Canis lupus familiaris: one gene and its partner. The protein of the gene in region 1 interacts with the protein of each later gene in a pairwise test. Links are inferred from orthologs where the notes say so. Each region holds a gene or a part of one and is shown in the gene's direction. Other genes may lie near its edges.

Region 1 (7,682 bases):
GTGGAGCACCTGCTGGGACCTTGTCTCATAGCCCAAAGCTAGACCTGGGGACTGTGCGCTTCATGGTGCTTGGTTCGGGTTACGACTGTAAGCCTTTTGAATAAGTTACTTGAGAATCACTCATAATAGTCAGAAGTACAGAACGTGTTGTTTTTATATTTCACCTACTCAGGTGATAAGCATGGCAAATAGAGCTCTAGGGATTGCGGGCTGCTCATGGGTTACTGACAGCAGTGTTAGTCAGATGTGGTTATTCTTTGTAAAGGGGGGGAGCTTGTTTTAATGTTCTGTCGTTTTCCACACGGGCATCTAAAATGAAAAGGTGAGAAGAATGGCCTCGGCCTCCACCTGCTCCTTTTATTTGCCTGAGGCTTACGTGTCTGCCACCTTTCCTCTTTGTCACTGCTTCCCTTGCCCTGGATGTGCTTGGTCACTGGGGTCACCCTAGACCACAGGAAATGTCTGGTTAACGCATGAAGAGATGGAAACACTCACGGCCACGCCACAAACGGTCAGTCACAGCCCCGGGCTCACCTTCCCCCGTGCTCCCCACCCAAGAGCGGCACGATTCTTGGCTTTTCCTTGGGAAACAAAAATGTCATTTCACATTAAATTGTTCCGATAAGTATTTCCATTAGGTATTAGTTAAATGTGTGAAATGGAATTCTATTTTAGATTTTTCTTTGGGACCTTAAAATTGGTAGACTCGCTCTACTTAGAATAGATTTAACTCCTATCTCCTTCTGGAGAGACCTCAGTTTGGTGCTTGGTTTTCATGTTCTGGCCTTAGTTTTCTCCTTATATGGACATGCTTGCCATGGGAAATTGGCTCTTTGCATGAGAAATTGGAATTGTTGGTTTTGCATGAGTTTTGCATGATGCATTCTTTGATTTATTTATTTTTACTCTTTCACTCAGTCACTGCACCTTCCCTACAACATTAATTTGCTTGCATCACTCAGCTCACCAATACTAATAGTTATGTTCTTTTGCATTCCTAACCTCGTAACACCAGGAGGATGAGGAGGGAAGCTGGGCTCAGGTTGGAGACTCTCTATAATATACTCTTCACTATATGTACCGCAGCAAAAGAGCTGGAGTATGAAAGCTTGTAATTGACTTTTCTTGACATTTTTAACATCTTAATTTGTGCAGAATATTGTTGATGATTTAAAGCATTAGTCAGAGCGAAGCATAGGATTAAAGAGTACGTCTCATGGACAATTTTGAACCTTTCTCACGTGGCACCATGGCGGTTTATTCTGTTTAACATAGATTACTTCTTTAGCACACGACTGTCCTGCAGAGTGCCATGGCTTTGGCAGCTCTCAGGATAAGGACCCAGCACAATAGTTGGCACAGGGGCTTTCCCTCCCTGTCTGCGTATCAGGGTGTGACTAAGTGCTGCCCTGGTGCTGTGTTGATCGAGACGTTTTCTCACTCATGGGATTCTCAGGAATCAAGCCTCTCTCCTTAAAAACGTACATTCAAATTTTCAGCTTCCGGGTTCTTCAACTCACCAAAAGCTCTGTCATGACTGTTTTGCAGCCGTGATTTGAGACAGCTTGATTAAAAGGAGTGGTTTCCTACTTGTGATTCTAGCAACCTTGCTGCCTGACTTGCTATTCTGTTTTAGTGCCAAGTCGGAGGCTGTGAGGGCGCGGCCAGGCGGTTCGTCCTGAGGCTGTTACTAATGGCATCATGTTCAAGGATCTCAAAAGGATATGGTATATCTGAAAAAAATCAAACTAATCTTAAATCTGATGTTCCTCATTTCTGGTCAGTGGTGGAAACAGCTCTTCTCCTCTATCTGTACTCCTAAATTATAGCCAATATTATCACTTTTTTAAAAAGCAGAAGAGGAGAGTGGCTGTAACATTCTGTGAGCACCCTCTCAACCCCTTTGATTTCAGCACTCTGTGCCACTACTCCAGATACATATCCTCATTGATCATTTCGCCTGCTCAGAATCAGGGCCTAACCATCAGTGAATCAAAAAGGGTGCATTTTGTAATTGCTTAAACATCAGTGTGTTGGACGCTAAGAAGGAGAACTTTGGCAGCACCTCCATATGAAACTCCTTATATTGGGGCGAGACTTGTAAACTAAACAAGCTGAATGTTTGCTCTTTGCAGTGGAAACATAAACAAGGACGAGCTGTGCCAATGACGTCAGAATTAGCTTGCATTGATGGTTTCCACTCCATCCCTCTTCTAGAGGAGAGGAGAATGAAGAGGCATCATGGTCTCTGTGCAGCTGCTAACCTGCTGCCAAGGGTGGAAGTCCTACAGTGCACCTTCCATGTGCTGTTACATAGTGACCAGCTCTTAAGCCAAGGGAGAGTTTGAGATGCCCTTGGGCACTCAGGGGAGGAAAACATCAAGGTGTGGTCAATTCATGGATGCCTTCACTTAGCAGGTAGCATCAGTGTGTTCTTTGCAAAACGGAGCTGCCTGTTGGTGCCACCTACCATCATCCCTCACATTTCACAGAGGTTACAAAGCTGAATTGTATTTGTGTTCTCATTTCATTGCTGGAAAAAATAGAGCCCATGCAGTGGCAGTCTCTTGCAGTCCAGGTGTTCTCTGACCATGAGATATCCCTGTTGTGTCCTCCCTTCAGAAGGCTGTGACCATAGTCCAGGAGGTGTGGATCTCCCTGGCTTTGAGCCTGGTTCCCCTGGAGCTCACATTACAGATCACTTAAGAAGTGGGACTAGAGTATGTAATGAATAAACAACATTAAGGAGAGCTCTGCTCCCATGGAATTGTCTGTTGAGAAATTTCTTTGCATTTTATGTTCAAGGATACATAAACAGAGGGAAGAAAGCAGTGACATATTCACACACTTAAGTGTCTGTCAGGTCTATGATATTGAGAGTGAGGTTTGAAAGAGTGAAAAAACATGACCCTGTGACAATTTTCCAAAAATGTTTGCTGCTTTTCTCACTCATGGTTATTTAGAGAAAGTAGTGAAACAGTTTCTTTTTCTATTGAATTTGAGCATTCTTGTTGAAATTTTGACTCATTTCTTTTAGCTTGTTTGGTGTAAATAGTAGATCAGAGGCTGTGTTTTCAACCCTCACCTTGTGGCTAGCTGAGAGTTACTGTTTCCAAGGATTCCGCAAGGCAACTACAGAATTCCTGTGACTATAGCTTAGGCTTCTTGGACTGAAGAACATCCAGTACCTTTGTTTGATGCTATTCATTTACTTCTCATCGCAGAAATCTTGCACATATTCTGTCAGATTTATCCCCAAGGATTTCATGGTTTTTGATGATATTACAAATGGTATTTTTTTAAATCTCCATTTCAGGCTCATTTCTAAAAGTATTTAGAAATACAGTTCACTTTTGTTTGTATATAGACCTTGTATCCTGCTACCAGGTTAAACTCACTTGAGTCCGGACAGCTGCTCTATATCCCATTTTCTAATAATGATGATCAGGTCATCTGCAAACAAAGAGAGTTTTACTTCTTTTCCAACCCATACGGATTTGACTTCTTTTTCTTGCCTTGTTACAATGGCTGGGGATTCCAGTCAGGGTTGAATGAAAGTGGTGGGAGCAGACATCCTTCATTTTCTTTGTTCCTGAGTTTAGGAAAAATGCATTCAGTCTTTCACCACAAAGTGTGCCATCAGCGCTACATTTTTTTGTAGACCCTTTATCAGGCTGAGGCAGTTGTCTTCTGTGTCTAGATTGCCCAGATTTCCATGAATGAGTGATGATTTGATCACACACCTTTTTCACATGTCTGTCATTTTTCTTTTTTAGTCCTTTGATACAGGGAATTTCTCTGATTTTCAAATATTGACCCAACTTATGTTCCTGGAGTAAACCCCACTTGTCATGATATCTTACTCTTAATTTATTACTGATTTGATTTGCTAATATTTTGTTAAGGAAAATTTGCATCTGTGTCTATGAGAGCTGCTCATTGGTCTGTAGTTTTCTTGTAATATGTCCAGTTTTCTTATCAGGATAATGATGCTCTTGGAGAATGAGTAAGATATTTCTTCTGCTTCATTTTTTTTGTAATAGTTTGCATAGAATTGGTACTTTTTAAATAAACGTTTGGTAGAGTTCAACAGTGAAGGCATGCAGTGTAGAGTTTGCACCTCTGTGTGTGTGTGTGTGTGTGTGTGTGTGTGTGTGTGTGTGTGGTTTACAGCTACAAATTCAAGTTCAGGTATGGGTAATCTGAGTGGTTCTCATACATTATGTCTATCATGAAATTTACCCATTTTATCCAGGTTGCTTATAGCTGTCCACAGTTTTCCCATATTACCCTTTCAGTGTCTGTAGGGTCTGTGCCAATGCCCCCTCTTTCATTCTTGATGTTGGTGTTTTGTATCTTTCTTCTTGATCACTCTGGGTAGGGGTCTGTCGAGTTTAGTGATGTTTATGAAAATCCAGGTTTTACTTTCATCGTTTTATTTTCTACCATTTTTCTGGTTTCTGTTTCACAGATTTCTGCTCTTTTATTTCCTTCCTTCTACTTGCTGTGAATTTCATTTTTTTTCAAGTTTTTAAAGGTAAAATCTTAGATTATTGACTTACAATCTTTCCTCATTTATAACATAAGCACTTAATACTGTAAACTGCCCTCAGGACACTGCTCCAGCTGTGTCTCACAATTTTATGAATGTATTGTTTGTGCACTTACTTTTTTTTTTAAGGTTTTATTTATAAGTAATCTCTGCACTAGTGTGGGGCTCAAACTCAACCCCGTGATCAAGTCACACACTCCACTGACTGAGCCAGCCAGGTGTCGCTTGCATATTCACTTTCATTCAGTTCCAAATGTTTTCCCATTTCCCTTGTGATTCCTTTTTTTTGACACATAGGTTATTTGGAAGTGTGCTAATTCCAAATACTTGGGAGTTTTCTGAATGTCTTTTTATTATGAGTTTCTAATTTAATTTCTCTTAAGGTTAGAGGAGATATACTTGGTATGATTTCAGTCTCTTTAAATACATGGAGATTTGTCTGTGTTGGAGAATGTTCTGTGTGCACTCCTTTTGGGTGGAGTGCTGTCTCGTATCAGTTGGGTCGGGTTGGTTGACACTGCGGCTTCAGTGCTTCTCCATCTGTGCAAGCCTGTTGTTTGGCCCAGTTGCTCAGTCAGTTACCAAACTATGGATGGTGGTGGGGAGGGATGTCTCCTGTGTCCTCTCCATCTTACCATGTTCATCTCTTCTTTTAAATCTGTGTTTTAACTCACTTTTTTAAAATCTGATTTTGAAATTAACAGATGTTTTATTAATGAAATATAGAAAACAAAGTGTTAAAAATAAAATGAAAGCCAGCCAGAGGTATTTTTAATGAGTAGACTTGGATGATTCTTCAAACTTGTTCATGAGCCGTGATTGTTCTTTGTTGATCATTATACATGAAAACTAGCTCAGAAAGACAGTGCATAACCAGTCAGTTTTACTGTGCTTTGTTTGGTAAATACGTTAAATTCATAAGCACAAATGAGTCGTAAATTTGTAATGGTATAATTCCTTTTGTGCAAAATTTTACTGACAATATAAGAGTAAATGGGAGATCAAATTATTTTGAAATTATAAAAAATGATGTTATTAATTTAGCCTTTGAGAATATGGAACAGATTGAAAATCTAGTTTAAAGATAATTTAAATGACCCTTGTGACCTCTTCCATGACTTTTCTTCTGAACTGATGTGCTTAATTATTGCAACCAGACCCTTGCCTATGGGGACATGAACCATGAGTGGATTGGCAATGAGTGGCTGCCCAGCCTGGGCCTGGCGCAGTACCGCAGCTACTTCATGGAGTGCCTGGTAGACGCACGCATGCTGGACCACCTGACCAAAAAGGATCTGCGGGGCCAGCTGAAGATGGTCGACAGTTTCCACAGGTACGCCCTGCATGGTGCCCCTTGTTGGTTCACTCCAGGGGCTCACACCGCTGCCATGGCTAACTGGGTTTTTTTTTTTTTTTTTTTTTTGGTTTGTTGGTTTTATTAATAGAAACAGTTTCCAGTGTGGAATTATGTGCCTACGGAGATTAAATTATGACCGAAAAGAACTGGAGAGAAAGAGAGAAGAAAGCCAGAATGAAATCAAAGGCAAGTACATTATGTGCCATGGATGCACTATGTTTCTGCTTCCCATGATGCTGACAGCTCAGTGACTGCCTCCTTTTAAAAAAATCAGGAGGAGGGACGCCTGGGTGGCTCAGCGGTTGAGCGTCTGCCTTTGGCTCAGGGTGTGATCCCGGGATCCTGGGATCAAGTCCCACATCGGGCTCCCTGCAGGGAGCCTGCTTCTCCCTCTGCCTGTGTCTCTGTCTCTGTCTCTCTTTCTCTCTGTTTCTCTCATGAATAAATAAATAAAATCTTTAATAAAAATTTAAGAAAAAGTTAAAAATCAAGAGGAAAAAAAAAGAAGCTAAATAAATTTAAAATAAATTTAAAAATCACAAGGGGTGCCCACCTGGCTCTATCCATGGAGCACGTGACTCATGATCTTGGGGTTGTGGATTTGAGCCCCGTGTTGGGTGTAGAGATGACTTCAAAATAAAATTTTAAAAAATTAAAATTAAACAAACACGATAAAATAATGAGGAAAGGCTTTAGTGGAGAAAACCAGTCTGGCATCATTACAGAGGAGAGAGGGATTGGGTGCCTCTCAGACCCTCTTCTGTGACTGGAGACCCTGTGCCTGGTTGTCTGTGCTTGTGGCAGTCTGTAGGGTCTGGGTCTCAGGGTGAGCATTTTCCTGTGACCTCAGACACTTCCTGTTGTAAGGATACATGTCCTCTTTTGTTGAGAATTGCTGCCACACGCCACTAGATAGCAACAGAGCAGAGCTGAACAGGCCCCTGCATTCTTGGCATCAGCATGAAAAATACTGCTCTCTATCCAAGGCCCTGAGCCCACAGTAAAAGAGTGTGGCTCTGCTCCCATGGCTGAGGGAATGGCACAGGGTTAACGTGGCAGCTGGGCCCTGAAGGTGATGGGAGCCTCTTATTGGGGTGGGGGTGCCAGCAGAGGCATTTTAGGTAAAGGGATGAGGGTGCTCAGCCAGGAGATGGCAGATGCTTCTCTCTGTTGGGAGCTACCCACCCAGGGCACATCTGAGTGAGCGGGTGTAGTAGTTTGCTTTGAAATAAGACATTAACAATTAAGCTCAAAGTACAGTCTCCCCCAATTTTCAGTATAAAGAAATCACTAAGAATGGTTATAGCAAACGAGGCCTATTGACCAACTCTAAGCATATAGGTTAATTTATGGAATCCTTACTACCATGGTCCTGTATGTGCTATTTTCATACCTTATCCTTACGAGGCCAGAAGTTAAAGATAAAAATATGGTTGGGGAGACGGCCCACTTGAAGGATAGTCTAATCATGATTGAGTTAGTGTGAATCACAAGAAAAACCATAAGCAAACATTTGTGATATGTATTCTATACACATATAAAATAATACATTTAACATATAAATATGGTAACAATCTCTAAATATTTTATGTGTGTGTGCACCCGTGTCTGTACATCTCTTCTTTTTTTTTTTCTAGAAAAGGACGTGGGAAATGAGATACATAAATCTGTTTCATTTGTTTTGTATTTCTGTCTTAAATCTTTCACAGTTGACAAAAGCTGTTTTTGAAAGTAACTGGCGATCATCTGGATATATTTTTACAGGGTGGCTAT
Region 2 (7,682 bases), on another chromosome or scaffold:
GGTTCCTCTAAAGAAAACAAGGCCAGTTCTAGAAGGTAGAACACAAGATGTCCATGAGACGCACCGAAGCCCCCAGTGAGCCTGTGGCACAGAGGGAACTCAGCCCACGGTGCCAGTCACACGTGGCTTGCTTGGGGGTGCTGTGTGGAGGCTTCGGAGTGAGGCTGAGTGAGGAATCCCTCAGGGAACCGAGCAGGGGTTTTTAACAGAGAAATGATGTGAGCAGACTTGCTTGTTTGTGGGGGGCCGGTTCTGGGAGAGAGCCGCCCAGTGCGTCAGTGCAGGGAGAGATGGAGGGGCTGAGGCTCTGGTGGGGCAGTAGCCTCTGGGGTTGGTTCACTCCAAGGCATTTCTTTTTCTTTAAGTAACTCTACCCCCAACCTGGGGAACCTCTGGGTTTGGAGAAAAATTACTGGGTTGGAAAGATGCCTTCGGGCCATCCGTTAACAGGTGATTCCTTGGGTGTCTAGGCTCTGGGCCACAGCTTGACCCCTGTGGCAGTGAGGTCAGGGGTTGGACAAGATGGTGTCTGTAGTTACTACTTCCAGCTCTGATTTTGTGGTTTGGGGCTACACGAGCAGCAGAGTCTGGAACCCATAGCGGAGGTGCTCCTGATGGGACAGCATGGGTCCTTTGCATGCCGGGCGCCCCAGCAAGGGTCCTGGGAGACCCACACACTCTCAGTGAGGCCGTTTGGTCACTCTGCCTCACTGCCTGCCTCCTCCAGCCCTGTCGGTAGGGGTGCCCACGAAGGACACACTTCAGCCCCTGCCCACCAGCTGCATGACCCGTCAGCACGCCAAGCATGCCTGCCCATGGCTAGGTCTTGCCTGACTTCCCTCCCTCTGCATGTTCCAAATGTTTGTACCAAGCTTGCAACTTTGGGGGTTTCCAGGCTGCACCTTGGCCTGGGAAGCTCAGAACAGTTTCTGGCCTGGGAAGCCCAAGGCCGGAGGTCGTGGCCAGGCACAGCCACCCTCTCCCTTGAGACCCTTGTTCATTGGCTCAGAAAGCCGTCTGTTCGGCGCACTCATCATGTTACTGCCATCGTCATGCCCATCCTGCCCGCGGACCACGTCCCTGGCCTGCCCTGATCCCTTGCCCCTGCCCACCCCCTTCTGAGGGGCAGCCCTTCCCCTGGAGTTCCCAGGTTGTGCCTTAAGCATGGCTGAGATCCTGGCAGGCGATTATGCCCCTGCCCTCATCTCTTCCCTCAGGTCACGGCCCAGAGGTGGAGGCCGTGACTCTAGAGAAGGTGGCCACGTCACTCCTGGACCAGCCCTGTGCCCTGCCCCAGATGCTCTGAGGTCCTCCACCCTACGGTGCCTGGACTTCACTCGTGCCCCAGTGAGCCCCTCTGGAGGCCCGTAGTGGGGGTCAGGAGCAAGTAGGGGCAGGCACCAGATGGCAACCTGGAATGTGGCCCTGAGGAGGCCCGCGGTATAGACCTGGGGCCTGGACCTTGCGCTGAATCCCTGTGTGACCCTGGGCAGACAGCACATTTCTAGGCCTCAGTTTCCTAGGCTGTAAAACGGGGGAGCTTGGTTGTGGAATCTCTTGTGTTCCATTCTCTTGAGTGTGGGGGCTACTTGTAGCCAAAAGTGGGGTGGGAGGTGGTAAGCCGGGGCCCTGGTACTGCCCCACCTGTCTCTCAGGTGGGTTTGGCTCTGACAAGAGGGGCTTCCTGGATGAGGGGCCCCTGCCCTTCAATCCTCCCGAGTATTTTGCCCGGCCTGTGAGTGCCTCTCTCCCTCCTCCTGCAGTGCGCCGTGTGGCTCCTCGTTTCTCCATCCCTCCCAGCAGCCAGGAGGTGATGCCGGGTGGCAGCGTGAACCTGACTTGTGTTGCGGTGGGGGCACCCATGCCCTACGTGAAGTGGATGATGGGGGCCGAGGAGCTCACCAAGGAGGATGAGATGCCAGTTGGCCGCAACGTGCTGGAGCTCAGCAATGTCGTGCGCTCTGCCAACTACACCTGCGTGGCCATCTCCTCTCTAGGCATGATCGAGGCCACGGCCCAGGTCACAGTGAAAGGTGAGTGCCACGTGCATGCCTGCTGTGGCCTAAGGCCTGCCTTGGTGCAGAGGGTGACGGGAGGTCCCAGCACCCGTAGCAGGTGAGCATGGCTGTTGTGGGGTTGGATGAGGTTGAGGGGTCGTTGCCCTCTCCCAGGTGCTTCCTGGGGTCCTGCCAGCCCTCGGTGGAGAGAGAGGTTTCTGTTATTCGTGATGTTAGTAATAATAGCTAACGGGTACTGAGCTCCTGGGGGCAGATGCTGTACTGGTTAGCACAGATTGTGCTGGTTAGCACAGAGACTGCTCTGTTACGCTGGGAGGTAGACGTTCTCATTCTCTTCTTACAAATGAGAGAACTGAGGTGCAAGGTCATGCAGGAGTCAGTGACAGGACGGGGACTTGAACCCGCGGGGTCTGATGCCGCAGAAAGGCCCCCGAGCCACGTCCTGGTGCCAGACCCTCAGCTTCATCAGCCTCATGTCAAGGCTGCAGTGAAAGAGTGGCCACAGAGAGTGGGCTCTCCACCAGGGCCCCAGGATGGGCACGCACACTCCTCCAGGCTCCGTGCTTCCATCCTCCTTCCTCAGACCCATCCTCCATTCTGCAACTAGAATGATCTTTTGAAGATACAAAGCAAGATCTCCCCACTGTTTTAAGAAACTGCCTTCCAGTGACTTCCCATTGCTTTCAGGGCAAAGAGCAGGATCCTCACTCCCCTTGCCTGGCCCTCCTGGCTCTGCTGGGTTCCTTCCGGCCCTCACCCAGCCCTCGCCGTGCTGGTCCTCTCACTGTCTGGGCCTCAGCTCTCTGAGGCCTTCGTGGATTTTCCCCAGCTCAGCCTCCCGCTCTCTGCTGTCCTCGCATGCGCCAGAGTCATCGTTACGGACTCGGTGCTTTCCACTCACCCTAGAATGTAAAGTCCACCAGAGCAGAGATGTGACCAACAGTGTGACCTTGTGTCCTCAGCCCAGCACCGCGCCTAGCACTTAGTAGGCACTTGATAATTGTGTAATGTTTGGCCTGGGATCTGGGACTGCTCCACCTTCAATTTGAGCCAAGCCACAGGTGTGTAGGGCCAGCAGCCCCGTCCAGGCTGTCTTAGGCACATCTCTCCCCGACACCAACCCCAGTTACACGTGAGGAAGCGCAGGCAAGCCCCAAAGGCAGACCTCTGCCTCCCAGCCGGCGCGCTTTCCATCTGCAGGGACCCGGCCAGGCCACGCCACCTCTGGGGCTGTTGTTAAGTGAGGAGCCAGTGAGTTCTGGAAGTGATGTGGGTAGACCCTAGATGACCGAAGGCCCCTGAGGGCTCTGACAGGTGTCGCCATCCCCCGCTAGGTGCCCTTTGAGGTCACCTCGAGCTCCCCAGGCCATTTTTCAAGGAGGCCCGTGAGGGCCAGCTGTACCATGGGTAGTTAACACCCGGAGCAGGATTGGCCTCTGGGGTCCTGACCTCGGGCAGCTCTGAGCCTCCCGCTTTGTCTCCCAGCTCTGCCGAAACCTCCAATCGACCTCCTGGTGACTGAGACAACTGCCACCAGCGTCACCCTGACCTGGGACTCTGGGAACTCAGAGCCTGTGTCCTACTACGGCATCCAGTACCGCGCGGCGGGGACGGAGGGCCCCTTCCAGGAGGTGGACGGTGTGGCCACCACCCGCTACAGCATTGGCGGCCTCAGCCCCTTCTCCGAGTACGCCTTCCGCGTGCTGGCGGTGAACAGCATCGGCCGGGGACCACCCAGCGAGGCGGTGCGGGCACGCACGGGAGAGCAGGCGCCCTCCAGCCCCCCGCGCCGCGTGCAGGCACGCATGCTGAGCGCGAGCACCATGCTGGTGCAGTGGGAGCCGCCCGAGGAGCCCAACGGCCTGGTGCGAGGGTACCGCGTCTACTACACTCCCGACGCCCGCCGCCCCCTGAGCGCCTGGCACAAGCACAACACGGACGCGGGCCTCCTCACCACCGTGGGCAGCCTGCTGCCCGGAATCACCTACAGCCTGCGCGTGCTGGCCTTCACCGCCGTGGGCGACGGCCCTCCCAGCCCCACCATCCAGGTCAAGACACAGCAGGGAGGTGGGTGCGGGCAGCACGCCGGCCTGGCCACTGCGGCGGGGCCTTGGGGGCTGGGGGAGGCTGAGGGCCTGTACCCCGCCGTGCACGGTCACCTGGGATGCGGGACAGGGTCCCGGGGCTGTCTTCCCATGCCTCCTTTCTCCGGGTGCCACCGGCCCTCGTGGGGAACTGGCAAGGCTCACGGCGCCTGGCGTGGGGGTGTGGGGGTGTTGCAGTGCCTGCGCAACCGGCGGACTTCCAGGCTGAAGCAGAGTCGGACACCAGGATCCAGCTCTCGTGGCTGCTTCCCCCGCAGGAGCGGATCATCAAGTACGAGCTGGTGTATTGGGCAGCAGAGGATGAAGGCCAGCAGGTGGGTGCTCAGCGGGGACAAGAGCAGGGAGGAGGGCTCCCCTGGATCCCGTAGGCTCTGTGCGGGGCTCCCCCGGGCAGACTTTCTGGATCCTGTGGTTGTACGGACATGGCCCCCAGGGGTGGCCCTGGGGCTCACGTGGCCAGCGTGGTTCTATAGTCTTTGTCCCCACTGCTGGGCGACAGTCCCTCGGTCTGCCCTTGGGTCTCTCCGGCTCTGCGGCTTACCTGGCACTCACAGAGCTGTTGTCTCAGATGCTCATGGCCACGGAGTCTGTGCAGTGGCCGTGTGATGTGGAGGCGGCCCTAGGCCACAGTGGGTCCACAGGGGCCAGCCGCAGCCCAGGTTGGGGAGCAGCCTGTGAGGTCAGAGCAGTCAGTGAGTGCTCCCTGCTCTTCCAGCACAAGGTGACCTTCGACCCCACCTCCTCCTACACCCTGGAGGACCTGAAGCCTGACACACTGTACCACTTCCAGCTGGCCGCCCGTTCCGAGATGGGGGTGGGCGTGTTCACCCCCACCGTTGAGGCCCGCACAGCACAGTCCAGTAAGTGTCTTCTGAGGCTACGCCTCCTGTAGCTGGGCCGGGGCAGAGACACACACGCCCTTCTCCCTCAACCGGGGGGGTGGTCAGGTCTGCTGGGCCCCGGATGGGCTCTTGTCTGGGCTCCGGGTCTGGACTCACAGGGGCAGGTAAGTTCCCACTAGTCTGTGTCCAGGCAGTTGCTGCCCATGCCGTTCCCCACCTGACTTCTGTCCCTCCCTCCCCCAGCCCCCCACCAGGTAAGTTCTGTGTCTGTGACTCATCCCCCTCCCCCGCCCCCACCCGTCTGCGCTGGTCACACTAGCTGACTGGGCCATGCTCAGCGCTGGGACAGCCACGCTTGCCATGTCTCAGACATGTCCCCGCTCTGGCAGCTGTCCTCCTGCTCCATATCCCCACATCTCATCTCCCCTGTCACCTGCATTCCCTGCCTCATGCCCCGCACCACGGGAGGAACATGGGAGCTGTGTCATCACACTGAGCCTACGGCACGTAGGGACACGTCTGTGAGAACGAACCCGGGTGGCAGACTGTCCACGTGCCTGCCTTAGGACCACGCGGCCTTCCGCGTGTGGGGCTGCCTGCTGTGTGGTTATCGTATTCCTGTGTACGTGAGACTAGTGCTGTGGACCTGCGTGTGACCCTGTGTGGCCACCTGGCAGGGCCGCACCCGTATGAGTGTCTGGTGTGCCCCGGGATTGGGTGGCTGTGAGGCTCTGTGTGCTAACAGGGGCCATGGATATGTGGCTGGACAGGATCATGACATTGAGGCAGTTACAGCACGTGTGACAGCCTTAATCACGGCAGTGTCTGTGAGGCGGTCCATGTGCCCCCAGACTGTGTAGATGCGACCCCATGTTCACGGATCTGACTTACAGGCACCTGCTGCGCTCCCACTGTGCCCATGCACGGAGCAGGGCTGGCAGCATGACCCCGACGTGGCCCGTACCTGCAGGGAATCCTAGTCTAGTGGGGCAGATAGATGTTCAACCTGCAATTATCCAAATGAGCTTTTAATTACATTTGTCTGAAGTGCTGCGGAGGAGACAAACAGTGGAGAGGTGCTGGGATTGGAGCTTCATCTGGTCTGAGGGGGCCAGGGGGGCTTCCTTGGGTGATGTAGGCCTCACGCAGAGGGGCAGCAGGTGCAAAGACCCTGAAGCGGGAAGGCACTTAGTTGTGGTTTGGGATAAGCAGCAGGCCATGGCAGCTGGCCACGGGTTAAGAGGACAAGACAGGTAGGAGGGCTGACCCAGCTGCTGGGCAAGCATGCATGGGACAGCCCAGCGGGATGCCGGACACCAGTTGGGAGGCTGTGCAAGAGTCTAAGCAAAAGACGGCAGCTCAGATGTGGTGATGGTGGTGGATCAGATAGCCGTCTGGGGTGCCAGCTGCCTGGGACTCGGTGACGGCTTGGCTTTTGGATGCTGAGGGAAAGGAGAGCATCAGGCGAAGTCTGTGCTTCTGGTGTGCAGACCTGGGAAGAGGGGAGGAAGTAGGGCCAAAGCAGGCACCTCAGCCCGGGGCCTTGTGCCAGCCGTGCAGGTGGCGATGCTGAGCTAGGGGTGAGGGACTCTGAGGACAAAGACCAGAGGTAGTGGGAAATCCCAGAGAGGGGAGTGTCTCGGAGGCTGGAAGAAGAGAGCAGAAGGAACAGAGCCGATGCTGCTGCTGAGCAGTCAGGGCCAGAGGAACGCAGGAGGCAGGAGCGTCTGCTGGATGGAGGACCTGGGGCGAGGGTTGTGAGGCCTAGCCGGAGGGAGGGGACTGCTATAGGTAGAGGCTGAGTGCTGCAGGCCCAAGGATGGGCTTTTGTCTTTAAAGATAGGAAATTTTTGAACTTTTTTTTTTTTTTTAAGATTTTATTTATTCATTCATGAGAGACACAGAGAGAGAAGCAGAGACACAGGCAGAGGGAGAAGCAGGCTCCCTGCAGGGAGCCTGACTTGGGACTTGATCCCGAGTCTGCAGGATCAGGCCTTGGGCTGAAGGCGGCGCTAAACCGCTGGGCCACCGGGGCTGCCCTTGAGCAGTTTAAACGTGGTGAGGAATGAGTCCATTCTGAGAAGTCGGAGAAGTCGAAAATTCAGGAAAGACAAGGATTTTGGAGGCTCAGGAGGTAGGGGGAGGGGACAGCATGGATGAGAGAGATCCACCTTGGACGGGAGAGCACAGCTCCCTCCTCGTGGGAAGCAAGGGCAGCTCAGCGAGATTGCAGTTGTTCGGTGGGTTTGGTAGCAAGAGATAGAGGGAGCTGCTGGTGGGAGGCTTCAGTTTTCTCTGCAAAGTGGGAGACAGTTGTGTGCTGAGAGCTGGAGGTTAGCGGAGCGTGGAGGAGGTTGAAAACGTTCTGTGTACAGCAGCAGAGTGAGCTGGGCAGAGAAGAGAGGCTGCAGACAGCACACAGGGCCCAGGTGAGGCCACTGGGGACTTTGCACACAGGATGCCAGCCTTCCAGGGCAGGCAACGCTTTTCCACCTGCCTCAGGACCGACCGCCTTGGAGAGGGCAGAGGGTTGGACCCATCCAGGGCTTGGCACCGGCCGGGCAGGGGCGTGGAAAGAGAAATAAGTGAGGGAGTTGGGGGTAGATGGTGAGGTGCAGACCTCAAGGTCAAAGCCCAATATTGAGGGCGGTAAGGATGGTAGGCGAACGGGTGGAGGTCGCAGGGGGGCGAGGAGCCAGGGTGCTGCTGGGCACCTT

What was found.
Region 2: the proteins of PPFIA1 (region 1) and PTPRF interact in a two-hybrid assay, tested with the Homo sapiens proteins (2 studies listed by BioGRID). The link is inferred for Canis lupus familiaris from reciprocal best matches to the Homo sapiens genes PPFIA1 and PTPRF.

Annotation. Positions count from the first base shown.
Region 1 is NC_049239.1:48,438,128-48,445,809, reverse strand, and holds part of PPFIA1 (liprin-alpha-1), read left to right. Parts: intron 1-448; coding exon 449-511; intron 512-1,015; coding exon 1,016-1,042; intron 1,043-5,709; coding exon 5,710-5,885; intron 5,886-5,997; coding exon 5,998-6,095; intron 6,096-7,682. UniProt on the Homo sapiens protein: May regulate the disassembly of focal adhesions. May localize receptor-like tyrosine phosphatases type 2A at specific sites on the plasma membrane, possibly regulating their interaction with the extracellular environment and their association with substrates.
Region 2 is NC_049236.1:16,715,801-16,723,482, reverse strand, and holds part of PTPRF (receptor-type tyrosine-protein phosphatase F), read left to right. Parts: intron 1-1,763; coding exon 1,764-2,033; intron 2,034-3,503; coding exon 3,504-4,085; intron 4,086-4,300; coding exon 4,301-4,437; intron 4,438-4,838; coding exon 4,839-4,983; intron 4,984-7,682. UniProt on the Homo sapiens protein: Possible cell adhesion receptor. It possesses an intrinsic protein tyrosine phosphatase activity (PTPase) and dephosphorylates EPHA2 regulating its activity.